Linked DNA regions of Lonchura striata. Each later gene encodes a partner of the first gene's protein in a complex. Links are inferred from orthologs where the notes say so. Each region holds a gene or a part of one and is shown on either strand. Other genes may lie near its edges.

What was found.
Region 2: VIRMA (region 1) and CBLL1 share a complex: the UniProt entries of both Homo sapiens proteins name them as parts of the WMM complex. The link is inferred for Lonchura striata from reciprocal best matches to the Homo sapiens genes VIRMA and CBLL1.
Region 3: VIRMA (region 1) and METTL14 share a complex: the UniProt entries of both Homo sapiens proteins name them as parts of the WMM complex. The link is inferred for Lonchura striata from reciprocal best matches to the Homo sapiens genes VIRMA and METTL14.
Region 4: VIRMA (region 1) and RBM15B share a complex: the UniProt entries of both Homo sapiens proteins name them as parts of the WMM complex. The link is inferred for Lonchura striata from reciprocal best matches to the Homo sapiens genes VIRMA and RBM15B.

The regions. Positions count from the first base shown.
Region 1 is NC_134603.1:24,171,590-24,178,449, forward strand, and holds the start of VIRMA (protein virilizer homolog), read left to right. Parts: upstream 1-3,848; 5' UTR 3,849-3,900; coding exon 3,901-3,963; intron 3,964-6,156; coding exon 6,157-6,272; intron 6,273-6,511; coding exon 6,512-6,598; intron 6,599-6,860. UniProt on the Homo sapiens protein: Associated component of the WMM complex, a complex that mediates N6-methyladenosine (m6A) methylation of RNAs, a modification that plays a role in the efficiency of mRNA splicing and RNA processing.
Region 2 is NC_134607.1:59,135,391-59,142,897, forward strand, and holds the start of CBLL1 (E3 ubiquitin-protein ligase Hakai), read right to left. Parts: upstream 3,010-7,507; 5' UTR 2,978-3,009; coding exon 2,965-2,977; intron 2,596-2,964; exon of another isoform or gene 2,488-2,595; intron 433-2,487; coding exon 265-432; intron 1-264. Other genes in the region: SLC26A4 (pendrin), read right to left, coding at 6,794-6,817, 7,313-7,396. UniProt on the Homo sapiens protein: E3 ubiquitin-protein ligase that mediates ubiquitination of several tyrosine-phosphorylated Src substrates, including CDH1, CTTN and DOK1. Targets CDH1 for endocytosis and degradation.
Region 3 is NC_134606.1:70,409,240-70,416,599, reverse strand, and holds the start of METTL14 (N(6)-adenosine-methyltransferase non-catalytic subunit METTL14), read left to right. Parts: upstream 1-4,355; 5' UTR 4,356-4,421; intron 4,422-7,360. Other genes in the region: PRSS12 (neurotrypsin), read right to left, coding at 347-525, 2,436-2,574. UniProt on the Homo sapiens protein: The METTL3-METTL14 heterodimer forms a N6-methyltransferase complex that methylates adenosine residues at the N(6) position of some mRNAs and regulates the circadian clock, differentiation of embryonic stem cells and cortical neurogenesis.
Region 4 is NC_134614.1:7,695,628-7,703,293, forward strand, and holds the start of RBM15B (putative RNA-binding protein 15B), read right to left. Parts: upstream 3,010-7,666; coding exon 265-3,009; 3' UTR 1-264. Other genes in the region: MANF (mesencephalic astrocyte-derived neurotrophic factor), read right to left, coding at 3,511-3,695, 4,644-4,785, 5,538-5,665. UniProt on the Homo sapiens protein: RNA-binding protein that acts as a key regulator of N6-methyladenosine (m6A) methylation of RNAs, thereby regulating different processes, such as alternative splicing of mRNAs and X chromosome inactivation mediated by Xist RNA.

The DNA.
Region 1 (6,860 bases):
TTCTGTCTTGGTTGGCTGCTCATCTTTCAGTGAAACTTAATCATCTTTCTTAGGCAGTTTCATTCTCAGTGCCAGCTTGGCTTTTGAGATGCAGCTCCTGTCTTTCTGAGAATGATTTCTGGATGGGCACGTGTTCCTTTACTAGTGATTTGTTGTATTCTGACTTACACACTTTTTTTCTGATTTTTGGATGGGCACATGTTCCTTTACTAGTGATTTGTTGTGTTCTGACTTACACACTTTTTTTTTTGTCTCTCTTCTGCCTTATTGTCTCATCCTATGTTTCTGTCCATCTAGGAGCATGAGAGTCCCTAGATTATTACTACAGCAGGCTGCATTATGTAAGGCTCCCTTCCAAAAGTGAAACTGTACCCTGAAAGTATTTTTAATTCCCATTATGTCTTTTGGATTACTGGCTAACCCTTGTTTCATTTATTCATTTGTTTATGAAGCTGCTAGTCACTAATTGCCACTGTAGAGCTATTACCTTTTATTTTTCTCTTTCTTGGCTAATACATTCCCTAAAACACCTGTTATCCAGTCACAGTTCCCATTCCACCTTCTTTCTTGCATGCTTGCAGCATCTGGTCTAACAACATGCACCAGTTGGTCAGGTTCCTGTGTTGTGTTGCCCAGGCTCCCATTCCAGTTGCTTGTCCCAGGCCACTCCATTGTCCTGGGACTGGCTAAGCATAGTCTTTGCATGAAATGTCACCTTCCAGATGACATGGGCATTGTTATCTACAGGAAGGAACTGGGGTGCTTTGAAGTAAGGTGACCTCTCAGGGCCAGCACACTGTTACTGTTCTCATCTCCTCTCTGGCAATCCTTTTGTTTCCTTTGTAACCGTTTTTCTGTCCTTTTTGTATTAGTTGTGGTGATTTCCCACCACGTGTCCTTTTGTTCCACTTACTGTAACAGGACAGTTGTGAAACAACTCACACCCTTCTTCTTGCCAAGGAGGTCACACCCCCCGCCCCCAACACTGCAAGACTCATGTATCCTCTTATTTATTTCCTCCATTTTTCTGAAGTTTTCTTCTTTCACCCATTGATCCCTTCCTAAAAAACAAACAACCTGTGACTTTGCACTTCTCAATATGTCCAGATTTCTTCTGCCAGTTCTGAATTGCCTGCCCTGCTCTATTGCTCTACAGAAGGGTCTTCACCTCAATACCACCTGCAACTGTTGGCCTTTCCTGCACACACATTTGGTCTCTGAAAAGTACCCCACCTGTATCACTTTTCCTCAGTTTCCTTCCAGAATATCAACTTCTTACAACTGAAATTGGAGAATCAGCTCTATCATTCCTTTTTGAATGTGTTCATGTTTACCACCTTTTTTTTTTTTAACGTCTCTAAGATAAATGCTGTTCCTAACCAAATTCTGTTGTCTCCACTTTCATCAGTGGAGAAAATACCCCCCAAAATACACAAATTGCTTCTTGATATTGTGCAACTGTGTGTGACGTTCAAGCACTGCTGTTCTTGCAGCAAGGAAATGCCTGACCTGTAAGCCCAGCCATGTGCTGAAGTCAGTGACACTGCATTGAGAGCCACCTAAATTGAATCCTTCAAAGCTGATTCTGTTCAAATCCAGAGCTGCAGCTGTTCCCAGCAGCGAGAGTCACTGCAGATAAAAACGCAGGGCTGGAATTCCCCTGCCAGTTACCAAACAATTCTCAGTGGCTGACCTGGTTGCAGTACTGTTGCAGGCTATCCCAGCAGAGAAGTCATCTGACAGGGACTGCGCTCCTCTGGCACAATGGCACACACGGTGATGCCCATGTGTGGAGCAGTTGCAAAGCTACTGCCTCACAGAAGTCTCCAAAGAGCCCCTAAACCTAATCAAAACAAGCTGTGCCGAGTGTCAAAAGGCATTGTGCTACTGTGGTAAGCACATTTCTCTCTCTCAGAATTTTTCGTAGAGGTGCACAGAGGGAAAGAAAGAGAAAACAATTTCTATTTCTAGTCCTTGTTTTTCCTATGTGAAATGTGTTTGGAGAATTGTTTACCTGGGGTGATTGCTTGATTGGATTCTGTGAGAATTGTTTGAACCTGATGGCCAGTCAAATCCACTTGTGTCTGGACTCTCAAGAGGCGGTCACAAGTTGTGAGTTAGTTAGATATGGTAAGTAGAAAAAGTAAGTATGTAGTTTTAGTATCTCCTTTAAATAGTATATTAATATATTATAGTATACTCATAATAAAAAAAAATCATTCAGTCTTCTGAACTAGAGTCAGATGTTATTTCTTCCCACTGGGTTCACCTACATTTACAATATGCTACTTCAGTAAAATACATATAAAGGGGTTTTTCTTCTTTTCTATGTAAAGATACTGTATTTTACTTCAGGAGTCTAGATCTGGTAATTCAGCAGGATGAGACAGGGAATCCATGTTGGGGCAAGAATCACAGTAGGCAAATCTACCAGCATGGCCAAGGATGCTCCTTGGTTTTAAGATTGTGAAATATTTCTTTAAAGGGATTTATACTTTAACTACATCTGTTCAAACAGCATGAGGCAGAATCAGGTTTTCAGTGAACTGAGAAGAAATTCTAGTTGATGAGTATCCCTGCACTGCCATAAAACACCTCTTCAGGTGTGTCAGTAGAACCCATTGGGGAACTGCATGCTGTGGCTGGCTCCCTAACACGTGCTGTGGAGACAGGAACTTCCTGAACTAGTTTCACCACCGCAAATGGATGTATTAAACCACAGCCTTGTTTAAAGTGATGTAACATTTTCATGTGCAGTACAACCTAGAGGACTGCTGCTCCTGGTTTAAGTAAAAGTTTGGAATGATAAGAGAGCAGCAAGCTCAGCTACTGGAACAAAAAAGGGGCTTGTGAAGTCCCTATACACCCATAAACCAGTGTATTTCACAAGCAGCCGTTTCAGACACAAGAGGCAGATAACAAGGAATAATTATCACCCTTAAGGACAGTGCTTAAGGTATTTGGCTGAAGTTTCCATCTAGAGATGTAACACGTCATTTTACCGCTTCCTCCAAAGGCACATGGTGCAGCTTTGCTGTCAGGCACGGAGCTCGTACAGAAACGTGTGTAACCAACACCGCTTGCGTAAGATTAATTCCACATCATTCTCCTGGCCAGGGACCGGCTTTGGCTTCGTGGCGTCCCCAGTGCTTGATTGCCGTTGCAGAAGAGCAATAGATGCTAAACAGGTACTTTGGCGCTGCGGAAATGTTGAAAGGAATTCTGCTACACGGACTTGAGAGAAGCGACAAGTTCTTCACCTGAAAAGCGATTGCTTTAAGCACGGGAGAAGCTGCAGAGGAAACTTCTCAGGCGGGGCTGAAATTAACCAGCACCGCGCTTGTGAACCCGAGCGGAGGCCGAGGCTCGGCGCGGGCTGCGGGGACTGGGCTCTGTGGAGAGGGGGCAGCGCCCCGCCGCTCACAGCCCCGGCTGCGGCACGAGTTTCAGCAGGTTGGACTCGACGACCTCAGAGATTTTTTCTCGACCTGAGTCTGACTCGATGAGCGCCGCAGGGACGCGGCACTGAGGGCGGCGGGACCGGCAGTCAGCCCAGCCCCGCCCTCAGCCCCGCCCTCAGCCCCGCCCTCAGCCCCGCCCTCAGCCCCGCCCTCAGCCCCGCCCTCAGCCCCGCCCTCAGCCCCGCCCTCAGCCCCGCCCTCAGCCCCGCCCTCAGCCCCGCCCTCAGCCCCGCCCTCAGCCCCGCCCCAGCCCAGCCCCGCCCTCAGCCCCGCCCCAGCCCCGCCCCGCCCTCAGCCCCGCCCTCAGCCCCGCCCTCAGCCCCGCCCTCAGCCCCGCCCTCAGCCCCGCCCTCAGCCCCGCCCCAGCCCCGCCCCGCCCCGCGCGGCCCGGAAGCGCTGGCGCGCGCGCCGGAAGCGCGTCCCCCGCGGCCCGGCCAAGATGGCGGCGGATGCCGCCACCGAGCTGCTGTTCCTGGACACGTTCAAGCACCAGAGCGCGGAGGTAAAAGGGCGTTCGGGTTCCGCCTCGCCTCTCACCTCCCTTCCCCTCCTCTCCCTTCTCCTGGGCTACTGCTGGCGCCCCCCTTGCTCGCGCCGGGGCCTGCCGGGAGTGCGGAAGCCCCGCAGGGGCGGGCCCGGCTGCGGTCGGGCAGCAGCAGTCCTGGGGCAGGCCCCTTCGAGGGGGAGCTGCCGCCTCCTTCCCGCTCGCCTGACCCGAAGCCTTGCTCGAGCCGCTGTCCTGGCAGCCTGAGTGCTGCTGGCAGGGGGCGGAGGGTGGTGGGAAAGCAGCGGGGATTTAGAGGTGGCGAGGAATGTAGGCGAGCGGAGAACAAAGAAGATAAACGTGCTTCGAGAAGTCGATATAATGGAAGAAGTTGACTGGAGGGCTATGCCCTGCCGCTTGTGAGATTTCTGATGCTCTTGTGTAGCTGATGATGAGGAGGGATATTTGTGTGTTTGTGAGGTATTCCCTTAGATTTATTTACTTTACACTAAATGAGCGTTTCAAGCTTTTTTGGCAGTGGTAGATCGTGCAAATATTCCACTTTGAGGCTGTTGGGATCCTGAGCATCTTTGAAACTGCTGATCTTGCAGCAGATTTGTCTGGGGCTGTGCTCGATGAAGAATTCAGGGAGGAGGAATGGGACTGTTAGGGGAAAAGTAACATGAGAAAGACGTTCAAATTCATAGAATAACTGGACTGCATTCGTGAATAGGCATTAAGGAAAGAGCTCATGCTGCAATGAAATGCAGTTGAAAAGTTATTCTGGAGTGTTGTAGCTGTCTGGATCAGCTAGGCCCCAATTGTTTTTTAATTCCACTGTTTAAAACAATGTTAGGTGGGGAGTGCTACCCAGTGCTGTTCCCCTGGATAGAAACAGTAGCCACTCTTAGGCCTCTCCAGGGCCCTATGTTCTTTTGTTGAACATTTTAATCTTTAAAAATAATTTTCTCTCACTTTCATTCTTATCAGTGGCATTGTCCAAACCTGAACCTTAGGTTTTTTATGTGTATATTGAAAGTCTTCTTTATGTTAGGCTAATTCTTTGGCTTTGTGGATTATGAATGTTTTACTAGAGCTTACAGCTCTTGAAAAGTACTGCTGTGTTTTTGAATAAAGTAATTTATTTGGCTTAGCTATACAGTTTAGAGTAGTTATTGAGTAGTTCTGATGGAGGGTCTTTTTTAATGTTTTGTAGGAGAAGTGGGTAGAATTCACTTGCTTTGGTGATGTTGGTGCATGGCTGTCAGGCCATAATCCAGTATCATTTAAAGAGGAATTTGTCTTTATGTGGGTGGTGTTCCTAGGGATGAAGCTCCCCAGAGCAGCCCTTTCTCCAGAAATTTGAGCTTCCTGCATGACTCAGATGTTTTTTAGAGACACAGATGAGCTCCTACAACCCTCACTCCATGTAGGCTGCACTCGCCCTGTTGCTGTTCGTGTGTCTGTGCTTCCTGTCCTAGTGGGATTCCTTTGCTTCCACCATCCAGCTTCTACCACATCAGCCCACAGGCCAAGCTGTGTTGTATTGTCTGCAAAAAAATGTCTGCATCGATTTTTTACAAGACAGTAACACATGCTGAAAACCATATCTTAAAAGCGGTTTTAAAACTCCAGTTTGTCTGTTTCATTGCTTACTAGCTTTCTAAAAATTTTAGTACTTGCTTTCTGCTGGTTTAATTTGCTTTCTGATTGTAGTGAAAAAGATACATTTCGACTGCAAATCAATTTGTTTTTTAATTTTAATTTTTTAGTTGTGTTAATAGACAGGTCGGTGGCTTGGGGTTTTTTTCCTATTAGTCTGGTAATTCAGCTTGCTAATTGGAAATGTGATTCTGAACTTCTCTTAAGAAAGTATTTATATGTTTACAATTAAACATAAATTTTATATGTGTACCATTTTATGCGTATAAATATGATAAAAATGATGGATAAATATAATATGATCTAATGCAGTGAATTTAGTGAGAGAAGATGTCCAGCATTAATTTTTTAGTAGCTGCTATATGAAAAGTCACTGTAAGTTTGATAACTTCCTAGTTTGCTCAAACAGCTTTTTGGAGGGTGTAAGAATTCTTTATACTTGATGTTTTATTATTAAGACTGCAATATGTTCTGTTAGTAGAGAATGCAAGACCATGATGTTGTTTGTGTTTTACGTTTCCTAGAATTTGCTTCCTCTTTGTTTTGTAGCAAAGTACCAATATCGATGTGGTTCGTTTTCCATGCGTGGTTTACATAAATGAAGTCCGAGTCATTCCTCCTGGAGTGAGAGCTCACACAAGTTTGCCTGACAACAGGGCTTATGGGTAAGTGAAAGATTCCAGGTATCAGATTCAAGAAAACCTTCCTCTTACTTTTTTCTTGAGCTTTCATCTCTCAATAGACCTTCCTACATAAAAATGTAAAATGTATTTGGGTGTTTGCCAGACTTGTAATTATTTTGGGGCATTCCTTAAATAGGATAATTTTGTGGTTTTTATCTCCTTGGTAGTCCTGCTTACTCTGATAAGGAACTCATCTGATTTTACTTTCATTCTGTTCCTAGAGAGACATCCCCTCATTCATTTCAACTGGACTTGTTTTTCAACAATGTCAGCAAACCAAGTGCCCCTGTGTTTGATCGGCTGGGAAGGTAAGTTCTTTCAAGATTAGTGTGTGACTTCCTTATCTACCTTTAATTCCTGAAAATTTTTAGAGTGCAGAGAATGTGCAATAGAAAATCCTCTATCTCCCATGACTTTCACGTTTGGTTTGGATTTTGCTAGTTTGTGTTCTTGTTCTTTTCATCTCATCTGTGTGGAAGGACAGAGGTTTATGCTTAAAGTAAGAAAAAATTCTGTTATTTTTAAATTTACAGAGTCCATATATATTAATGCCAAGAATTCTGTAGAAAT
Region 2 (7,507 bases), on another chromosome or scaffold:
GGGTCATTTTTATTGAAATCATCAAAAAATGCCACAGCACCTCCAATCTGCTGAGTCCATTCTACAGAAATGTAGAACCAAAGCAGTAAGACAGCCTGTTTTGGAAATGGGCACTACTGAAGCCCTACATGAAGTAGCACTTGGAGATTTGAAACTTGTTTTGCATTTAGACAGAACCCTGGACTCTTAAGTCTCTGAGTAAAGTCTCGAAAAATCCTGTAGAATAATACATTTCCCTACTACAGGGAATTTATATGAATTTACCTTCATCACCAGCTTGTGTCTTCGAAGGCATCCTGTTCATATTTCTTGGAGTTCGAGGTGCAGGTTTGGTTTTATTGGTCTGTTTTGAAATAAGCTTTATAGGGATTCTTCTACGGACATCAAGACCACCCAAAGATCCTGAACTATTTGTTCCTTGCAAATCATTGTCTGTGAAAGAAAATTGTAAAAAGTATACATTATAAAAATTTATTTAATAGTCTCTAAAGAGGTTAAATATTAACAGAAATGTTTTAAGAAAACATTTAATTTTTAAAGCTTGCTTAAGACTCCTACAACATATTAAAATTTTATCACTAGAAAATAGGTATCCCTCACAGACAATACAAGAAGCCACGTCACAAAACTGTATTTGGAACAGCAAGGAAGTTAGGAAATCTAGTTTAAAAATAAAGCTATTAAAATAATCTAGCTAGTCACACATTTCTCCACAACAGAAACATTAACCTTACAGCTCTTCTCACCGCGTGAAGAGCACTGGAGAGTCAATTCTTTGTAGAACCTTGACTACACAGAATTTCTTATGTGAAAAGATAATTTTTACAATTTATGTGTATTGTTTACTAAAGTAGGAAGGAAACTAGTTTCTCTATTAACTCATCATCTTGACATATTACTTAGAAATTTATAAAAAAGTATCACAAAAATACTGGTACTTAGGAATACATAGTTACATCCTTCCTAAACTGAAAATTACTGCTCCCAGCTATATACAAAATTCTCCTTAATCAGATTTACATCTAAGTACCAGGGTGAACAAAACAAGAAATAGCCTGACACATGCATAAGCAGGTACAGGCTCCAAGAGATAACATAGAGCAGGCAATGCAACAAGCAACACAAATGAGGAGGCATAACTCCCTCAAACTCCAGTGAGTTTATCTGAAACCACCCCACAGCATCTCATCCATGAAAAAATATGAAGTTACATCTTTCACAAATCTTCCCAGCTCACTGGAATTTTATCTGAAAATGCCACAGGTGTTTCAAAGCAGGGCACACTCAGTCTGGAAGGGGTGAGCCCCGAGCACTTACAGCCCTGCAGTTCCACAGGGTAGGGCACTCCAGCCCTGGAATGACTGCAGAGGCCCCAAGGATTGCAGTGCAGGACACTGAAATTAGGGTCCATTAGTGCAATTCTGCACAGTGCCTCACCAACTGCTGTCTCTCAAAGCCTATAACCACCACAACAAGTGGCATCATAACAATGCAACAAGTAGAAGGAAAAACAAGAAAAAATGGGATTGCTCTCAGTTTTTCAGCAGCTACCACCAAAGCCAGGAAATGTATCTGTTTCAAACTGGGACTGTGCCCTGGCAGTCCTGTACCTCCAAACCAAAAGCCCTCAGTTTCCTTAGATTGATCAAACTCCTCTTAGCACTATGGTTGACAGTTTCACTCTAAAAGGAAATACACTAAAGGCAAAAGCAATAAAGCTTTTTTTTACTTCATTTGCTATTTCTTTCAGCTGTCCAGATGAACCTGCAAACACTCAACTATATCATCAGGCTTCTGCAGGGAGTGCTTGACCAAGGCATCAGAGGTAAAGCTGCTTGTTTTCCATGTGTTGGGAAATTGTTTTCTACCAGAATACACAAAACCACAGCACCATAAACCACAAAGATCTCTGCTGCAACTCAGTCCATTTGCAAACAGGGACAACTAAAACGAATTTTAAAAATCAAACACTTGTTTATTAGTTAGTCCATTGAACTGCCAATACATAGTCGCTTTTCCTCCTTATAGCCTTTTGTACCAGGAATACTTACATGAGCTAGCTGCTTAACTATCCAAACTACCAAGTTTACTAGTCACTCATGCTTTACAGAAAGATAATAAATTCCAGTCTGCATGAGCATAGCTTGTGGGATTATGTCCAGAAAAAACTACAACAAACATACCAGACTTGTTAAGACTACTTAAAAAAGCTCTAATTAGAAGTGATGCAACCTAGTGAAATGTCACCTTCAACTTAGTTTTACTTTTGCATTTCAAGCTTTATTAAAATTCACAAATAAAACTCAAATACTTTATACAGATAGTCATAAAGCAATCTTTTGTAAGGGAAAGGAAAAAAATCCTCCAAAACCACCCTAGCACAAAGCGCACGTCCATTCATTTCTTCACTGCACTACGCCAGCGCATTAACTCGCGAAGGATCACAGCTGCGCCAGCGCGCTCACCGGCGAACGACATTTAACCCACCACACCGAATTTAGGCACGGGAGGAAGCTTCCTCTCGGGCCACGACCGCGGAACCAGGAGACACACTGTGGGCCGCACGCCGGGACCGCCGCGGGCAAAGGAGCGTCCGTGCCCCGCCTCCGGGAGTCGCGGGCCGCAGCCGGCGGGGCCCGGCCGCTCCGGCCCGCCCGGCGCCCGCCGCTCCCCCGGCCCGGGGGTCCCGCGGCCGCTCCGCCCGGCGGGGCAGCGCCGGGCAGCGCCGGGCCCAAGGCGGCAGCGGGGCCGCGGCGCCTGCCCGGGCAGGAGCAGGAGCAGGAGCAGGAGCAGGCCCCGCGGCGCGCCCGAGCCCCGCCGGCGCTCCGGGGCCGGGCCGGGCCCGGCGCCGCCGCCCCTGCGCCGCCCCGCGCCCCCCGGCCCCGCTGGGCCGCTCCCGGAGCGGCGGCGGGCGCGGGCCCGGCGGGGCGGGCACGGACGGGCCCCCGGCCTCCCCCTGCTCACCATTGTGGTCCATGATGCGGCGCGCGGCGCTGTGGGAGCGGAAGGGCGCGGCCGGAAGCGGCGGGGCCGCCTGCCCGAGCCCCGCCAGCGCTCCGGGCCGGCGGAGCCGCGGCGGCTTGGGGCTGGGAGGCGGCCCCCGGGGCTTTGGGGGAAGGACGGAGTGAAAACACGAGCGGTCTCTCGGTTCGGAGCCGTGCAGGCCCCGTCCAGCCGCCTCAGCGGCGCGGGCTCCACACACGCTGGGAAGATGCGGCGCCGCAGCGCGCTCTGGGCTGCTGGTGTCAGCATTAAGTTCAGCATGGAAATGGCAGATTGGTGAGCCTTAAATTATAGCATAGAAATGGCAGATTGGTCAGCCTTAGGTTCTAGCATGGAAATGGCAGATTGGTCAGCCTTAAATTATAGCATGGAAATGGCAGATTGGTCAGCCTTAGGTTCTAGCATGGAAATGGCAGATTGGTCAGCCTTAGGTTCTAGCATGGAAATGGCAGATTGGTCAGCCTTAAGTTCCAGCATGGAAATGGCAAATTGGTCAGCCTTAGGTTCTAGCATGGAAATGGCAGATTGGTCAGCCTCCAGTTTAGCATGGAGATGGCAGATTGCTGACACGCTGTACAAGTGATGGAGCACTGAATCTCCAGAGCACTCAGCAGCTTCACAACAACAGAGCTCACTAGCTCAGGAGTGGGCTTAATGTTACATTGAGCACTTTTTAATTCCTGTAAACTCGGTGCGATGCTGAAGAATAGCACTGGAGAAAGGAAAGAAATAAAAATACAACAAAGTCATAAGTTATAAGTAGAAAGTGGCCCCGAGCAGTCCTACCACAACGCTAAAGTACGGGTAACTCTACTCCATGCACTTCAGATTGGTAATTGTCTCAATAAAAGCCTCCCGGATTGGGATCTTGTGCTCCTACAGACAGTATCTCTCATTATCTTTATAGGCGTAACATTTAAAAGCTACCATTAAAGTCTCACATTTCTTGTCTTACCCCCACAAGGCAGAGGGAACAGGTTTTCCCTTTTGTGTTTGTTGATACTCAAAACAGAGACCAAGGTAAGCGGGACACTGATTCCTTCATAATATGCTTTATCTTCCCATAATAGGAATTCACAAAGAAAAGACTTAAAAAACCCGAAACTAAACAAGAAACCCCCAAGGACACAAGGAGCACGTTTTCAGTATGCACAACTTTATTTTCTAGTTTATGGGTATAATTTTCAAATGTAGCTTTTTAAAAGTGTAAAAAAAAAATACATCTCCAAATTTGATATCTGACATGCAAAGACAGAACAGTAATACTCAAAATGCATACAAAAATACCACTTCTTCATGCTGCTGGAAAAAGATAAGCACATCCAGTTACACTACTTAAAGATACATTAATTAGTACAAAACTGTAGAGAATTATAGCTTCATTGCAAAATCCATTATTTTGGTATCCTTAATTTTGAGGGATACAGAGAAAATTAAGCACATAACCAATGAGAAAGGCATTTGAATGCATTCTTCATACTACCTCTTACTCTTCTATGCCACTGTAGGCTTTGAGAGAAATGCTGTTTTTCAGAGAAAAGTTTAATATTTTGTGCCTGTTAAATTAAGACCAACCATGCCTGGAAGAAATACACAGGCCAAGAATAAGTGCATTTTATCATATTTTATCACAATTAATCCCAGATCAGATGTCATATTTGGAAAAGAACTGGAAGACTGTTGAGTATTTAATTGCTTTTTAAATACCTGTCCAGACAAGAACTAGAGAAATTTAAAAAAATAATGTCATGACATCTCTGTTAAGTAGGAATCTGTACTCAAACTTCACATTGCAGATGTTGCCTTGAAAAAAAAAAAAATCACTGCTACAATTTTTTACCATCTTTTCTGTAGACGTGCAACAATTAGCTGAAAGCTCACTTACCAGGTAGATTATTTTACTTTTTACTTAAAATGTGTATCTGTTCCAGAGAAGCAGTACAGCTTCTAAAAACATGTTACTGGCCTTGTGCACTGGCAAATGTTCCAGCAGTCAGGTTAATAGGAGTTGGGGCCACAGCCTGATGGGGTCTTCAGGCCAGAAGTGCCAACCTCCTGTGACAGGCTGGCAAGGAGACAGAAGGAGGACAGGTGGGGTTAAAAGCATGAATTGTCAAATCACAGGCTGGGCTGAAGCATTAGTGCCAATAGAAATTAATGGCTCCATCTGAACAGGTGCAGAGTGGTCTGATTTGCCTCTTGAACTCTTGCTCCATTCTCAGATGGTGGAGATGCCCATCCCACGGACAAAAGGCCCATGTCCATTGTGAATACAATCCTGCTGTTTGCTGGCTTGGACTGGAGCACCAACATCACCTAAGCTCAAGTGTCTGTACTGAGAAACTTCACTGTTGTGAAGGCTGAAGTCTGTGCTGTAACAAGAGAATAGGGATTCTAATTTGGTGCCATTGGCTGAAGTTTATAGGATTTTTTTTCACTGATGTTAACAGAGTTAACTTGGATAATTTATTTAGTGTTTAGCTTTTCCATTGCTACCTGCAGCAGAAATCTGTGCAGTATGTGAGAAAATTTCTCTCATGTAATCAAGTAAGAAGAATTAAATATACTGAAGGTAATTTTCACCATTGTTAAACTTAAAGGCATTTTATACCTGGACATTTCTTACACTTCAGTTTTTAACAATTTCCTCACAATGCAGAGGTTTTTCCCATTTTAAAAATAATGCAATGCTAAATAAATCAAGGTGGCAGTCCATTTTCCATCAAAATACATTTCTTCTTCATGAAAACTAAGAACATTAGTTTAGGATTAAAGTTTTGCTATTCAAATCTTTTGTAAATTATTGCACTTGTGCATTATGAACTTTCATATGTAAAAGAACAGCAGCAGTTTAATGTAGACTATTAAAAGAAAAAATCTCTATAAAAATATAACTATTCATTAAACAAAAAATACATCTATATTCCATTAAAAGAACCCCAAATATCAATACTAGGTCACATTCTGACTTTCTTGCTTACACTCAGTATCAGCCTGTTTCACAGATTTCATTAAGTACTCAGGGACTAAGGTTTTCCTTAATTTATGTCATGATCCGCCTCTTGATGAAGATTATGTAACCTAGCCAAAATAATCTTCTGTCTGTCCTTCATTTAAGGGACAATCATTAACAGTAGTGCAAGACTTGCTACAATGGGACTAATACAGAACAAATGAACCCATATCCAAGGGTCTTTAGAAACTTTTCCTATTTAAAGTATTACTGTAGTTCAGTGCTGTTTCCTGTTCATGTGACAGTTTCACCTGTCACCTCTTTCAGTGATCTAACTACCTGCAGCAATTTAAGGAATTGCTTGAAAAAAATGATCATGGTACATTTTTCAAGGCTTGTCAGCACATATTCTCACACTAATGTTCTAGAATTCAAAGCCTTGGCCAGCAAGAACTCCAGCCCTTTCACTAGACTTTGTAGAAATATTGAACAAAAAGCTTGCCATCCAAAGATTTTGGTCTCTTCCACTCTCCTGGGCAGACCACAGAGCAGCTTTTCAGTCCCAAAACTGAGTACATCTTTCACAATAGTCTTCTGATTTTCTTTTTTATTAATATATATCATAGCAGAAAGTGCTTGCAGAATCAAGGTCCAGAATATTTCTGGGATAATGCTAGCTAAAATTTGGAGAGTTGTAGAGATCTGTATCATTCAGACAAACAATCAGGGTTTTCTTCAAGTGCAAAGATTGGTTTAATAGCAGAAAATGCTGGTCTGGGTAGTACTGGTGTGTGGATATTGCCGTGTGCTCACAGGCAGGATGGTACCAGCAGTCCTTCAGGAAGCAAGTCGGCGCATGGCCTAGAAAAATGGGTTTTGAAAGGTGGAGAGAAACAGGCTGTGGTTAGTTCTCAGTATGCAGCATCTGGGAAAATTACATGTTTGTGTAAATTAAAAACTCAGTGAAAGTACAAAGAACATCTGTAAACTGTGCAGATTGTGCAAGAAGCTGTCTGTTGTCTTAAAAGGAAGAATGAAAGATTGATCATAATTTTCCACTCTAGTGCCTCAAGTCTTACAAAGTCTTCTTTTTAGGCCCCCAGCTTGTGTTTAAATATAAGCCAGTGTAAGGCAAAAGTAATCCTAAAGCAAGAGAGATGAGGAGATACTTAAGCAGATATCATCTACTACTATCTCAAAATATCTCAAGAAAAATCTGACTTCCTCCACTTAGCACTGACATGCAGTATCCAGAGAGGGTATGTATTTATGGAGAAGGTACCTGTTGAGGGCCATACTCTCACAGCAAGACTGAAGGCTACAGGCAGAGGGATAGACACATTCTAAAATGCATACCTCTTCCTGAACATCAAGTTCATCATCAGGCTGGCTGGCTTCTGTGAACTCTATGGGTTCTTTGGACTCCTGCATGAGTGAAATCTTGGTAGAAATAAATTAAGAAACATGATGAGTTACATGTTGTCCATATAATTGAAATTTATTTTTTTACTCTAAAGTACCTTAAAATAACTTCCACAACTTAGAACAGTC
Region 3 (7,360 bases), on another chromosome or scaffold:
AAATTTTCTTTTAAAAGCCATTTATGAAAATAGTGCTCATTATTAATAAAGCTATAGGACAAAAATGCACCCACCTTCTTTGGATAAAACCATAAGTAGGATAAGAAAGGCAGCACAGAACTGGCTGCAGCTACACGTTGTGGTTTCAGCTGAAGAGATTGGCATTGCCATCTTCCCAGCACTGCCAGCCCAGCCCTCCTCGAGGCAGCAGCTAATGATGCAATTATTCAATCTGTATAATCTGTTCCAAGAAATCTTAACACTTTTTCTATTTTAATTATTGTAATTATTACAACTTCTACTTAAATAAAGCAAGGGCTTGAGAAAAACATATGTATTTTTTTACCCAGGGTGGAGCTACATGTGACAGCAGCTGCCATTTTTTGAGGACATGTCCCATCTTGCCAGGTGTCTTTTTCACATAACAGTATATTTTCTTCATCACCACGACAACGCACTTCACTCCAGAAAACAGGAATAAGGCCTAATGCAGAAAAGGGTATGTGTTTTGCTGTACCTTTTTCCCTGTAAAAATAATCAGGGTAGGGTATCAGAGTGGGAGGAAGGGAAGTGGAAACATTTTCTCATATATAAATCTCAGAGGAGGAGAGAAAGGGCTTTCTTCAGTGGTGTAAATTCATCACATTTTCATACAGTTCAGCATTGTCTTCTGCACAAAGAAAACTAACAGATGTGACCCAGTTCTCACTGTTTTGTTGTGGGATATTTTAGTACAATGACTGTTGCTGCAGAGCCAGCTACATTCCTGCTCTCCCAGTTCTTAACTACAAAAATCAACACAGAGTCCACAGTCCATAGGTGAATCTACAGTACCAGCCCACTGCAGTTACAGTTCCAGGAGGGGTAATGCCACCAGATCTTTCTCCCTTATTCTGTCCTTTACTCCATGAAGACATAGCATGCTCAGCCCATAAATGCCTTGTATTGTGACTGTGATGATGGGGTTGTGCAACCACCTCACACACCATTAGATCAGGCCCCCATCCATTTTTCTCTATTCAGCCATTCCCATCCACCCAGAACATTTTATAAACAGCTCTCTTTTCCTTCTCATGCTGAATCTACAGCAACACTTATAGAGCCACCTTCTATTCCTTGCAAAGCACTGAAGTTAAAACAAAGCCCAAGTAGGGTGATATCAAAGGAACAGATAGATGGAGCACCTGAAAAGCACTAGTAATACCTCATAAGTTCACCTGGTGGTACAGAGATCCAAATTTCTGCAAAACATTCAAGATAGTTCAAACTTTTAGCCACTGTTTGCTTGGGGATTTTTTTGGCCTGGGTTCAGCTTTGAGCTATTTCTACTGAAAAGACAAAACCATTCACCTGTATTGCTGAACTATATTTGCTAACAGCGGTCTCGTTCAGCTGAAATGTTCAGGGTATGGAAAGCAGATAGGACTTACATGAAACAGAGAAGGAACTACTGCACGTAGACAGCTGAAATCATAAACAAAATCACAGCCTCCAGATGGCTGAACTTTTATTGCATCTAATCCTTATATTTTTATAAGTTGGCATGGTGCGTCCAGATTAGTATTGAACATTATAAACCAGCTTAGATTTAGTTCTGGCTAGCAGTCTTAAAAAGTGGATTAATCATTAGGAATGTCATGGTGCAAGTCTGCTATAAAAGCCTCTTACTGCTTGTAGCAAGCAAAACCAATGCTTTGGTATGTGAGTGAAAGAAATATTAGAAAGGCAATAAAGGCAGCCAAATTATGCTAAAGGGTGCTGTCGATTAACTCCATTCTGGCAGCAGTGGGAAGTAGTGGTCAGCAAGGACAGTACAGGGATTTTCAACCTGTCCAGTATGGCTGTAGCTCTAAAGTGTTGTCATATGCCAAAAACGTAGGATGAGTTCCAGGTGTTATTTGGCATACTACTATGGGTGATTACTAGGATAACCCCTTGCCCCTGAGAATTAGGAGCCCATGTAGAGTCTAATCCTGGCCACATTTACATTGTTATAGATTCAGTAACCTCACTGGAGGTGTTAATTGACTTGGTTAATCTCAGATGTGTGAGATCAGGACTGGACCATGTAATTCTGTACATGTGGACATCTTCCATTTGTCCAGTAGAGGAGTTTGTCGAAGCTTGCTGCCCTGTTCACACATTTCACTTTGAAAACAAAGCATTTGCATAGTCTGCTCCTATCCAGAGCCTATCTTCAGCTTTCTGAGGAAATACTCGTTTCCTCTTTGAAGGGTAATGCAGATGAAGCCAGCAAAGTATTCTGAGCAGAACAACTTCAGCATTCAAACACTTTCAAACAGAAAAAGCAATCATCAAACAGAAAAAGCAATCATCAAACACAAAAAGCTCTCAGGATTTACAAAGTAGATTGTCCTTTATACTGAAAAATCATGAAAATTATTTGACTGGTTTTTACTCAAACTGAAACTTACCCAAGTGCAAGCTGTCGACATACAACTGTCGCGTCATTATTGTCCCAATGGTTCCCACAGATTGTTCCCCAGATTCCATTCAAATAAACCTCCACTGTACCTTCAAACTCATTCTTGCCTCCCCGGAGTCTCACTGACCCTAGTTACCAAAAATTAAAAATAAAACAATTACACCTCCAAGATACTCTATTGCTCAGTTCATGCATCCCACACAAAAGACTCTGAACCTCATTTTCCCTTAGTTCTTGTTTCATGGATACTGAGCTTTTCCCAAGAAACATTCTGGCACACCTAACATTCTCATACAGTGATGCACAAATTAAGAGAACCCTTTTTTAACATGAGGAAAGCATTATTCTCCTCATACTGCAACTGCATCATATTTTTGATCCTTCTGATGCTACAACTTAAAGATCTTACAAGGCATTTATAGACACATAATTATTGAAATGTTATTTCCTCTACCCAAATGAGCAAAATATATATATGTCTGTATATATATATATATGTATGCATGTGTATATTTGTATAAAATATGCTATACTTTTATCTTTCACAGAATTCCATTGACCTTAAGGGAATCAGAAAATAACCACATGAACTGCATAGCTTTTGCTCTGGCCTATGTTACATTATGCATGTCACAGATGACAGCAGTTTATTTTAGCCAAAGAATGCATTGGTTCATACTTTTCTCAGACAAAAAACCACTGCATGTAGTTTTATTAATTCATGAGAGGTCTTTACCAAACTCTCAGACAAAGCAAGCTCAAAAGCATAACAAATGGTCTAAAATAAGTGGGGAAGAAAAAAGTGTTTCTTAAGAGCTACAGAGCACAGAAATCTAAGAAAATTAGCAGATCTTGCAGTTTTGTATTCCAGTAGTTTACTTGAGATGTCTGATGCATCTTCTGTTGAAGTGGCACTGGTAAAGGTGGGGAAAAGCTGGTCATAGGGATAACTACACAGAAACAGGAAAAACCATGACAGAGCAGTAACTCAACAAGAAACATTTCTGTTAAATTATCAAACATAGCCCAGCTGTATGAATTCGTATTGCCTGAAATCCCAGTTAATCCATCTGCCTCTGTTCTGTGATCTACTTAGAAGCTACACCATCATCCAGTTTGCAGGGGTTTTGCAATGGGATGAAGATAGTCAGTGCTTGTGCCTACATTTCATTGTGTCTGTGTTCATCTTTGTGTAAATAATAATAACAATAACAATAATAATGATAATAATAATAGGTAGATCCACTTTTTCTTCTCAGCTTCTGTCCTGGGTTTAGTTCAGTGTATTTTATAAAACCACAAAACCAAGAAACTGCCAAATAACTCAAGGAATTAATTAACCTCATGTTTAGCTTGGCATGATCCTTTTTGCCTCCTATTTACTTTCTCAGCAGTAACTTACTGTGCACTAAATTACAAACAACATTTATTTGACTCATGTTACAGAGTGAGCTATCATTCCTGAGAGAGGATTATTACTGTGTCAAATATAACTATAGTGTAGACATGTTGCACATCATTTGTCTGTCTTTAAAATTTTTCTCTTTGTGTTTTTCTGTATGGGTCACAGACAGAGTTTGGAATTCTGTTTATTTCTGTTCTTCACCAGACTTTTGTATAGACTATTATTTTCACTTGAAACATCAACTGCACTCATAGCAAAGTGATTCCTGACATATCAGAAAGCAAGTTTGAAGATGTCATCTCCAAAAATAAGTTTATTTTAGTGCATGATTACTTACAGTGCTGCATGACACCTACTGAAATCAATACAGTGCTTCCTGAGTACACATTACACAATGTTTCTATTCACATATTTGAATAAGGGAGTACTTGAAGAATACAATTTTTCTTCTAAAGTCTCCATGGCATAATATGGCTCACTCCTCTTTCTGTATTTACAGATTTCCCAATGACAGTGGTGGAAGAACTTAGTCGTGTACACACAGCAAAACACACAAGAGGATTGCTAAAGGTAATTTTGTAACCAATTTTAAATAGTCTTGATTTTTCACCTAGTTAAGTTAATCTAGAAAGAATCTAGAAAGAAATAGAAAGAAAGACCATTTTTACATGTAGCTAATATCAAGCCTGCCATTTAGTGGAGGTAACCAAATATAATGTATGTGCACTTTGAAGTATGTATCAACCTCTGTCATATGACTTAAGTTATATAGCAAACATATCAAAGGGTACTAATGAGAAAATTATTTCTCTGTTGTTTACTCAAAATGTTGCGGTATTCAGACACCTGGTAGTTATATTACCAGTTCATGTTACAGTAGTGATACCTCATAAAACACAACCTCAACATCAAGACTTTCATTACAGTGGCTTAGTTTTTCTTTCTGGTATATAAAAACTCTTTCTTCATGATGAAACACAGCTCTGTGTTTCCTGTGTAAATTGATCCTAGGGAATTGCAGGATAACAGCAGGATCTGCCATCATGTGTGTTTATGCTGTATAACCAAGTATCTGTTTATATATTAATATTTTAATTGCAAGATAGTGTTTACATTGTAAAATTACCAGGAAACACTTTTTCACTTCATAGGAAGCAAGAAACATAGTATTTAACATGATTGAAAGGATACAGGTTAATTCTTATTTTCACTGGTTAAGTCTACTGCTGTTCCAATGTAAGGCCTCAAGCACCCAAACACGTGTCTCAGGGGCTTCCTCTGTGCTGCCCCTGGAGCACAACAACTCTGCCGAGGAGGGCCTGCATTCCTTCTTACCAAACATGTCCAGCTTAAGTGTATGCACTGGAGGCTCTAGGTTCCTGGAGTCAGAGATACAGTAGCATCTCAAATTTTAAAACTATAATTTTTCAGCACTTTTAGTTGCTGAAGAAAACTAAACCTGTTGGGAGTAGAGCTAATGCAGTAGTATCTACTCTTTCTACTCTCCACCAGTTCAATATGGTCTCAGACCTCTGCTTAAAGTGCTTATCAAACCTACTCTCCCTCAACAAAAGGGAAGAGCAGCACCAGGATCCTGCCCGTGGCTCTGCCCTCCTCAGCACTGGTTAGGAAGAGGGAGGATGAGGAGAGGTGATGTGACCCCACAGTAGTTAGAAACTAGGGCACAGGACACAGGGCAGGCCTATGAGACAGCTCTAGACACATACTGTGGTCTTAGAACAGGCTTAATTCAGCCCTTTATTAAAAAATACAATCTGCTGGCTTGACAGAAACTCCTTCACTTGTAAAAATTAGTCTAAATACTCAGAAAGTATATATACATTTATGTAATTTTGTTTTAGCTGAGGTTACTGATGGTCAGTTCCTGTTGTTTACATAATGTCTGGTAATTTTAGTTGTCCTGGTATCTGCCCAAGTCAGTCTTTCCTATCTGCTATCACTGTTGAAAGGAGATTAAGTTATACTTGCAAATGCAAGGAAGTAAGGGTATCCAGTGGGTGCTGCTGAGACTTGCTCCAGAACACCTGCCATATAGGCTGAAGATGAGACACTCAGGAAAACAGGGGGAGGAAAACCACCCAGCCAACTTTTAATTAACTCAAAAAAGCAGAAGAGCTTCAAAGGAATTGCACTGTTGTGCTTGGCCTCTTTTCCTATGCATTCTCATGTACAGAGTTGCTGCGTAACTTCAAACCCTCTTTAATTTTTTGCATTTCACTGGGAATGAGCATCATTACTGTGTGGCTGAATTGCAGATAGGATGGGAATCACTTCCACTTCTGCTGTACATGTTAGTGCTGCAGCAGTAGTGTTTATGGTGTTGGATAAAGGCATGCCACAGTTTCTTGGTAAGCACCTGTCCAACAGTTTGCAATTTTGCTGTAAATGTAGGCTGGGAAAGTAGAAATCAGAAGTAAAGTTTGCCTGTGCCTTTCACCCTGGTGCAGTGTGCTCTGAAATGGCAATTTTAAAGCAAAGCAAAAGAAGTCACTTCAATTTCAGAAATATGTTAAAACAACAAATATTTGTATTTCTGCCCTAATGTTCAAGGTGTTACAATGTGGGATAGTGCTACAGAAAGGCCCTGCACTGACAATTCATGTCTGTTGTCTTGGAGTAAATTAGGTCAGTCCAAATTGACATCAAGTGTGAGGATTTCCCATGCTCTGTATCCCATGGGATCACACTGTTACTCGTAGTATTTAGAATACATGGGGATGATCCATAATACATATAAAATGGTCTATCCCAGTTTCAGAATAAAACTAGTTCACTGATTTGTATGAGGTACTTGTAAAAAGCTGCATGTAGCACAGGTAAAACTTAACATTGGTTCAAATGAATGGAAACTTCCAGGATCAGGCCTGACTAAAATCAAATAAATGAAACCTGTCAACTTCAGCAAAATTATGCATGGTGCTCACTGTGATCAATGAACACTGTTGTCTATCACTTTCCTGAGCACTGCTCTTAGTCTAAAATTACAATTATTTTCTCCAGGCATCTTAACCTTGAAAAAGGGTGCCTTCAGTAGAACCACTTTTTAAGAACTATCTTGAGGTTCACTAACAGTATTGCATACTCAAGGATCCTTACATTAGAATTTTCATAAATATTGTATACACTGAGTGTGTAATGTGCTGTGTTGGCTCCTCTGCAGTGCTGAGATCCATCATGTCAGCAATCAATGGTTTAAGGCTCTGACAAACAAAACTGAAACTGAGCAATGTAACAGGCTCTGAAGGACTGCAGTTGTCTTATGTGAGCAGAGCAGGAGAAGATGAGGGGTCTCACCCTGTGCAGCTCTGGTAAGAATGGTTCCAGAGGAGCTGCTTCTTAGAAGGAAAATATGGACATTCATGTTTCAGTTCTAATCACAAGCTATTAAAAAAAACCAAAGTCCCAAAAGTCATTCCATCAAGTGCTTGTACTATAGTAAAACAGGTAGGGAGAATAATCTAGTTTTTAGATTATGAGCCTGAGGCTTG
Region 4 (7,666 bases), on another chromosome or scaffold:
GAACAAGGCTTTACTGACAACTTTTCATACAGTTAAAAAATAAAAATACAGAACAACAGCGGACAGTGTCACATATTAAAAACGAATAAAATGGGCTCTATTTAAAATTTTAATAGATATTATAGGTATTAAAATTAATTAGAAACTAAAAATCTTACCACTTTGGTGAAGGTATTTTGAGCCTCAACCAAAATGATCAGCCTTAAAAACAACTGGGCTGTGTGACACACAAAGAAAACATGGAATTTGAAAAGACAGTGTGGGCTAGGCAGTGTCTTTGACTATAACTATCACCATATGTTCTTCTTCTAACTTCCCCAATGTCCTTAGTGCTGACTGGAGGTACTGCTGAGAGAACTCGCAAGGAGGGAACGCGTAAAGCATGCCTGTGCTGTCCCTGCCCTTTGCCCCTCCCACGGGCAGACTGATAACCCCAGCAGCCTGCTTCTGTTTCAAGTAGGAGACCAGATTCCTGAGAAGCCGTCGCTGCAAGCCAGGCTCTACCACAGGGAAGGTCCCCTCGGCCCCTGCCGGGGCGGACTGGGTGGCCAGGAGCACGGCGTAGCCGTTGGGGCTGCCTTGTTTGATGCGCCGGGTGACTTCATCCAGCTTGGGCTGGTCCAGCCGAAGCCTCTGAGCGATTTTGAGCTGCGTCAACTTCCCGCCGGACGAATGGTCTTTGAGGAGTCCGTTGATGACACCCACGTCTCCCTCCAGGATGTGCATAGAGGTGGGGAAGCAGCTGTTTTTTAGCACAAGAAGCCCATTCCAAGCAAGTTGCAGTGTCTGAGCGTATTCTGATAAATTCTTTAGCTTTTTGGTCTCAGATTTTGGCTCCTCGTGAGTTTTTGATTCCGATTCACCAGTTCGATGATTGCGTTCGCTGTCCCTTTTTTTGGGCTGGGGAGCATCGGCTGGCTCGCGATGGGGTTTCTCCTCGGCCGCGTGACGATTGTTCTGGAGGGAGTTGCTCTGCTCTTTCTCGGCTCCGGGTTCTGTAGTGTGATTCTCCTTGCGAGCCCTGTCAGGGCTGCGGTCTAGAGCTGGCCCACTGGCCTTTGTCCTGCTTCTGTCCTCGTAAGGCGAGTGAGTAGTCCTCCCGCGGTCACTGGAAAGACTCCGGCGTCTCCGCCTCTCTTCCCACGGTTTGGGCACGCTGCGGTCGCCGTCGCTGCCCCAGCGCTCCCCGCTCCGGCTGCGCACGGAGCGGCTGTAGCTCTCCAGGTTGTTCCTGCGTTCGGCGTTTTTGGCAGGGCTGGCCCAGTCTGCCTCCACAAAGCTCCTGTCTCTGTCCGAGTACAGGAGGTGCGGAGGAGTCCTATCCCGCACCCTCAAGTCTTGCTCCAGGCTCCGGTGCCGGCTGTAGCCGTCAGCCAGCAGCTCGTAGTGCACGGGGAGCGGCGCGGGCTGGTACTGCTGTGGGTATCTCGTCTCTTCTGCTTTGGCAAAATCCACTCGGAGCCTCCTCTCCGGTCCGCCCAAGGGAAAGCCCCTCATCTGCGCGCAGGCGGCCTGGGCAGCGTCCAGGCTCTCGTACTGGATGTAAGCGAAGCTGTCGCCCTTCACGTAGTCAATAGTCCTGATGCTGCCAAAGCGGTCGAACTCCCTGGCCAGGGCGGCCAGGGAAGTGCTAGGGCCGAGGCCCCCCACCCACAGCCGGGTGGTGGGGTTGGCTTTTCCGTAGCCAATTTTGATGGGGTTCCTGCCCACAACGCGGCCCGACATAGCCACCTTGGCCCGGTGAGCCATGTCTAAGTTCTGGAACTTGAGGAAGGCGTAGGCACCGCCCTGGCCACGTGCGGGGCGCTTGATCACCACCTCCTCGATGATGCCATACTTCTCGAAAGCGCGCCTCAGCTCCACCTCCGACACGTTGTGGTCCAGGTTGCCGATGAAGAGGTTGCGAGTGGCTCTCTGGTCATCCTCTGGCATCAGGTCTTCCTCGGCCACGATGGGGTAACTGTACGGGCGGCCGCGCTCGTCGTACAGCCCGTAGTAATCCAGGGCCCGCTCCCGCTCCCGGGAGAGCCCGATGGCGGCTGCTTCCAGCGCGAAGGCGGCAGCGGCGGCGTGGCGGGGCCGCGGCTCCCGCAGCAAGGGGCTGGTGACCGGCGACAGCGAGCGCTGCTTGTATTGGTAGGCGCTGTGCAGCGGCGGCAGATACCCCAGCGGCTCCGGGGAGGGCGCGGGGGGCGGCGTGCGGCTGCGCCGGCCCCCGCGCAGGTACACGGGCTCCACCTTGAGCGGCCGGTCGTAGAGGAGCAGCTGCCGGGCCCGGGCATGCCGGCGGGCGTCGCGGGCGTCCCCGGGGTGTCGGAAGTTCACGTAGGCGACGCGGCCGAGCTCGGGCGTGTGGGAGAGCTTGACACTGATGTCCCCGGCGCCCCCGCCCGCGAAGCGCTGGAAGAGGCGGAACAGCCCGTCCTCCAGCAGCTGGTCGGGCAAGGCCGCGCTCAGCCCGCTCACCAGCAGCGTCTTGTACTCGCAGGAGCCGGGCGGCTCCCCGGCCAGCCCGGCCGAGCCCCCGAGCGGCGCCAGCAGCAGCGAGGGCGCGGCGCCCGGCGGCGGCCCGGCCAGCAGCAGCGACGGGGCTACCACGGCGCCCGGCAGCGCCTTGGCCTTGGGCACGCCGAGCGCCCGGGAGGAGGAGGAGGAGGAGGACGAGGGGGCGGCCTGGCTGCCGCCGCGGGCGCCCGAGGCCGAGCCGCTCCCCGCCGGGCGGTGGTTCGAGTCGCCGCCGCCGCCGGCGCGCTCATCGCCGCGGTGGCTGCGGGAGCTGGAGCCGCCTCCGCTGCCGCCGCCGCTGCCGGTGGTGGTGCCGCCGCCGCCTCCGCCGCCGCCGCCGGGCGTGGACTTGTCCCGGCTGCTGCGGGAGGCGCCCGAGCTGCGGTGCGGGCCGCGCCGGCTGCTGCTCTCGCGGTCGCGATCGCGGGGCCGCTTGGCGGCGGCGGCCGCGCGTCCGCCCGCGGCCCCCGGCGGGCTCGAGTCGCGGTCGCTGCCGCGCTTCATCGCGCCGGGCCCGCGGCTCAGGAGGCGCCTCCGGCGGCCGCCGCCATCTTGGACAAAAGGGAACGAAGGCGGCTCCGGCCGCCGCGCCGCGCGGGCCCTACGTCATCGCCCCGCGCGCGCCGCGCCACAAGCCGGCGTCACGGGGCCCTGACGTCACGCGGCGCTTCCCGCCGCCCGCGCGCGACGGCCGGGCGGCCAATCAGGGCGGGCGGCGAAGCCCCGCCCCCCGGCGGGCTGAGGGGGCGCGCGGGGCCGGCCCGCGGATAAAGCGAGGAGGGGGCGGGAGCGCCGGGGCCCGGCGGGTGCGGGGTGCGGGGAGGGGCGTCCGCAATCACGGCACAGGCACGGCTCCGCCCGGTACACTCCGGCCAACTTTAATGCAAGTCCCGTACAAAGCGCGGGGCCGGCGTCGCCCCTCAGAGCCTCAAGGTCGCCCCTCAGAGTCCCCTCACAGGCCCGGTGTCACCCCGCAGAGCCCCAGGATCGGCCCGGTCTCGGCCCTCAGAGGTCTGTCCGGGCGCCGGCCGCCCTCGGCGCGTACTTGGGCATCAGTTCGTGGATCCTGCGGATGAAGTCGTACTTCTCGACACAGCCCTTGCACACCTCGCCCCAGTCATCCAGGATCCGCCGCAGCTCCTTGACGCGCAGCTTGCGCAGGTCGGCGGTGCTCAGGTCGATCTGCTTGTCTGCGGGGAGAGCAGAGTGGCACTCAGACATGCCAGCTGGGCGAGGAAGCCAAAACCCAACCGGGAGAGAGGTGCCAGGGGTGGAAGGAACGTCTAAGGTTTGGGCAGCAGATATGGCTCGTAATGCTAAAAATTATTAGAAGACAGAAAGCTCAGTTGCAGTTTAGATGCAGGAGTTCCAGAATAGCCCGGAAAGCCCCTTTATTACACGAGCAGCAACACTTCTTTACCACTGGATAAAAGAAATGTAGCAGAGTGATTTCAAGGGAAAGGTAAGAAAGTGACAACAACAAAAAGCTTTTTAGGAAGCAACACGACCTTAGTAGGAGAAATGAAAAGTACAAAGACCCACAATCTAAGGGGCGTCTCCAGGGGGTGTAAGGGCAGCTATAAGGGAAAGCAGAACGAGGCATTTCTATGCCTGTTTTTTGTATTAGTCTTTTCAGGAAGAGGAGTCATCTACGAACATGAGAGTTCAAGGAAGGTGATGAGAAACAGAGAGTGGAATGCTCTGAGGAGACACCAGAGGAGGTGAGAAAGCATTATTTATCACCCTGCTGATGGGAACAGGAGAGCAGCTGGGACTGCAGAGCTCAGGCAAGGGCCTGAGCCCTGCCACAGTGACACCCCTGCCTGCTGCCAGCACAGGCTGTACCACACACCCTCCCAAACAGCAGTGTGAGCAGTGTTTAGTGCTGTTCCACCTGGGAGTTAGTTATTCCAGGGCTGATCAGAGTCCCTGCAGAAGCCAAGAAGGGTTAGCAGTCAACAGTCTTACCTAAGCATCTCCATAGAACTCTCTAGGATGTTCATGGAGAGCAACACAGGTTGTGCAACCTAACTAGGCTACAGAACTCAGGACTGAGTATGTTTTAGGATGTTGCTTCACCCCCAGTCATCCACACCCCAGCAAATCATGGGCAAGCATCATGAGTGCAGGCAACTCACCGTATTTTAGTTCACAGATCTGACTGTCTTTCTTCTTTAGCTTCTCACAGATCTTTTCCACAGGGATGTGGTGACTCATGGGCTTTGATACCTCGTTAATGATTTTGGTGGCTGCATCACTTGTGGCGCCAATGTAATAGCACTAGAGGAAAGAAAAGAGTGAAGTGGGGATGTATGGAAAAAAGGCTTCTAAAAGCAGTCTTCTGTTCCTGTCCTCATCTGGTTTTTGTAGCTCGATGTTTGCTGTTAGAGAACCTCCCCAGGGGACTGCTAGAGCTGGGCAAAAGGAGCCTGAGCCCAGAATACTGAGCAGGTGTTTTCCATTGCAATGATATTACAGCTGCTGAGGCTGATCTTGTTTCTTAACTTTATAAAAATTGAACAGGATTAGGATAAAAGTTTTTATTCAAAGAGCCTCTCTGAAGCATTCCCCCTCTGCATGTCAGATGGTATCTCTTGTAGATCTCTGAGGAGAGTGCAGGCCTTTTCCTTGGGCCTCTTCATTCACAAATTGCCTCTGGTTTTAGTTAGGGCAATTTGGTTTTCCTTTATTTAGTTTTCAGCTAAGCAGCCAAAGAATATAAATATTTTAACACATTACATAGCACCCCAAATACCATTTAAGGGACACAGAAACCCTACAGCAAACAAAAGCTTTGTAATATCCAGTGCTTCAGCAACAATGAGATGCCAGCCAGTCCAACCACTGTTGACAGGGTGGTTTTTTCCCTTTTTTTTAAGATAGAGATTGAACTCCTCAAGTCCTTTAATAAAAAATACAGGACCTACGGTGGCCACAGAGCCAGCAAAAACAGCCCCTGGGAAGCCACATGATACAAACTCAGTTTTCCCTCACTTGCAGGAGGGAAATATTACTGACTTCCCCCTACTTACCAGGCGATTCTCTTTGCCCTTTGCTTCTTTGCAGGATTTCAAGAGCTCCTTTTCAATACTGGAAGGTGTGAATTCAACGTCATTGTCCTTTAGACTCTGGTAAAACCTTCCCAGGAATGTGACACACACTGGAAGGGAAGATGGATGGAGTTATCAGCCAGAGCAGTAATCTCATGGCACCTCTTAGAGGACATTTATAAGGAAATGGAATCGGGGGTTTGGATAACAGAACTTTTCTGAACTTCACCCATGGTTCAAAACGTCATTCAGAGCACATGTGAATCAACAACATGCCCTGGTACTTTTGGTGGGTTTATGACAATCTGAGAAATGAGATCCATGGAAGTGTCTAGGGGCCTCTGTACATTGTCCTGAGTGAGCACTGGGTCATATGGACACAAAACCACGCCCATCCAAAAATGTACATTTAAATTGTCTTGTTGCTTTGGGAAGCAACTTGTAAGAACATGGGTGTCAAACCCAGTGCTGACAGAAAACCAGCTCTGTACATAATCCTCTGAGACTCCCCGTGTGCTAACTTCAGTAACAGGGTATCACTGATTACCAGGCTGCTTCAGTTGAAATTACTTCCAAGAGAAAAAGAAATGTGATCCCATGCTATGTCCCCATGGCACCTTTCTCCTTTCATTTCCACAAGCTTCTGATGCAGTTTCAGATGGAAAGATGGAAGACTCTTAGATATAACACAACTCCCACAAGTGCAGCTGCAGCTGAGAGGACAGATCCAAGTTCATGCCCGTGGGAAGGGCTGCACAAATCGGTCATTGCTCCTTCCCTTGGCAGCAGTCGCTCCATACGTGCTCCAAAGTGCAGCAGCACCGTGTGTGGCTGGGAAGGAGGGCAGACAGCCTGTGGGATGACTGAGGGACACCCCAAGTGTCAGATTTTGGTCATTCTGCTGCTCACAATTCATCCGTGGATATCAGCATCACCTGGACAGAGCACTCTACTCCCCCTAATTCCTGCTCAGGACCTGTGCATTCTCACACCTTCCCATGCAAGATGAGTGCCAGGAACCATTCTGCCTCTAAGGAGCAGGTATGAGTTATGGCTTTTATGGAATTTGTTTACTCCAGCAGGAAGGGACTGGCAAATATTATTGTCATTAGCAACTTGTGTTCAACTCAGAACACAATGCATGGCACAGTAATTGGGTATGACAGGAAACTGAGTATGGCCATCACAGAACTGAACAGAAATGTACTCTCATGATATTAAAACTAGAACTAATTATAAGATGGGCCACCTTGGAAAACATTTTTTGTATGCATGCAGCACCCTTTTTTACCTCCCACCAGTCTATCCCCAGTCACAGACACATTGATGTTCACTGTAAGCACTTCCCAAGGAAGTGAAAACCTTGGGAAGAAAAAACTTGCTGCAGGCAGTGACACTGATGGCCACTGTAGGACAGAAACGTTTCCAGTCTAGTGCTGCGACAGCAGCTGCATGTTTTGATTTATAGGGTTCCCATCCCTCTTTCTCTCTTACTGTAGAGGAGGGATATTAGTGTCCCAAACTCCCAACCAGCTACTAGAGCCCCACCTCAAGTTCTTCTTGCTTCACTTGGGGAATCTGTTCAGTTCACTGCACAGGAGCAGCTTAATTTGCTGTGCAGCTCAACAGGTTCCACCCCCGAGGCGTTTGTATTTCCATGGTACACAAAGGGCCCGACTTGATTCGGATCAGCTGCTCACGGCTTCTGGCTGTGCACACCGAGAGGACTCCGAGCACTCCGCAGTACTGTGATGACTAAGGGGGAGTCCCGGGTGAGTAACCTCACTGGCGTTCTCCTGCTCCCTGCCCGGTCACCGTCACCAGGCAGGGACAGCCGGCGGGAGCGCTGCCCCGCCAGTGCCGAGCCGCGACAGTGCTGATCGCTGGAGACGGTCCGGTCTCCCGGAGTCGTCGCTCCTCTTTCCCGTGGGGACTCTACACTACCGCTGGCCCGTGGAGAGGGACCGGCAACTTCCCGACAGAGTGCAGTACCCTCGGAAGGGAGATCCCGTCCCTGGCGCGGGGCACGGCTGGAAGCCCCGCCCCGCCGTCCCCGCGGGCATCCCGGCGCATCGCCCCGGCACCGGACACCCCCGAGCACCGCCCCGGCA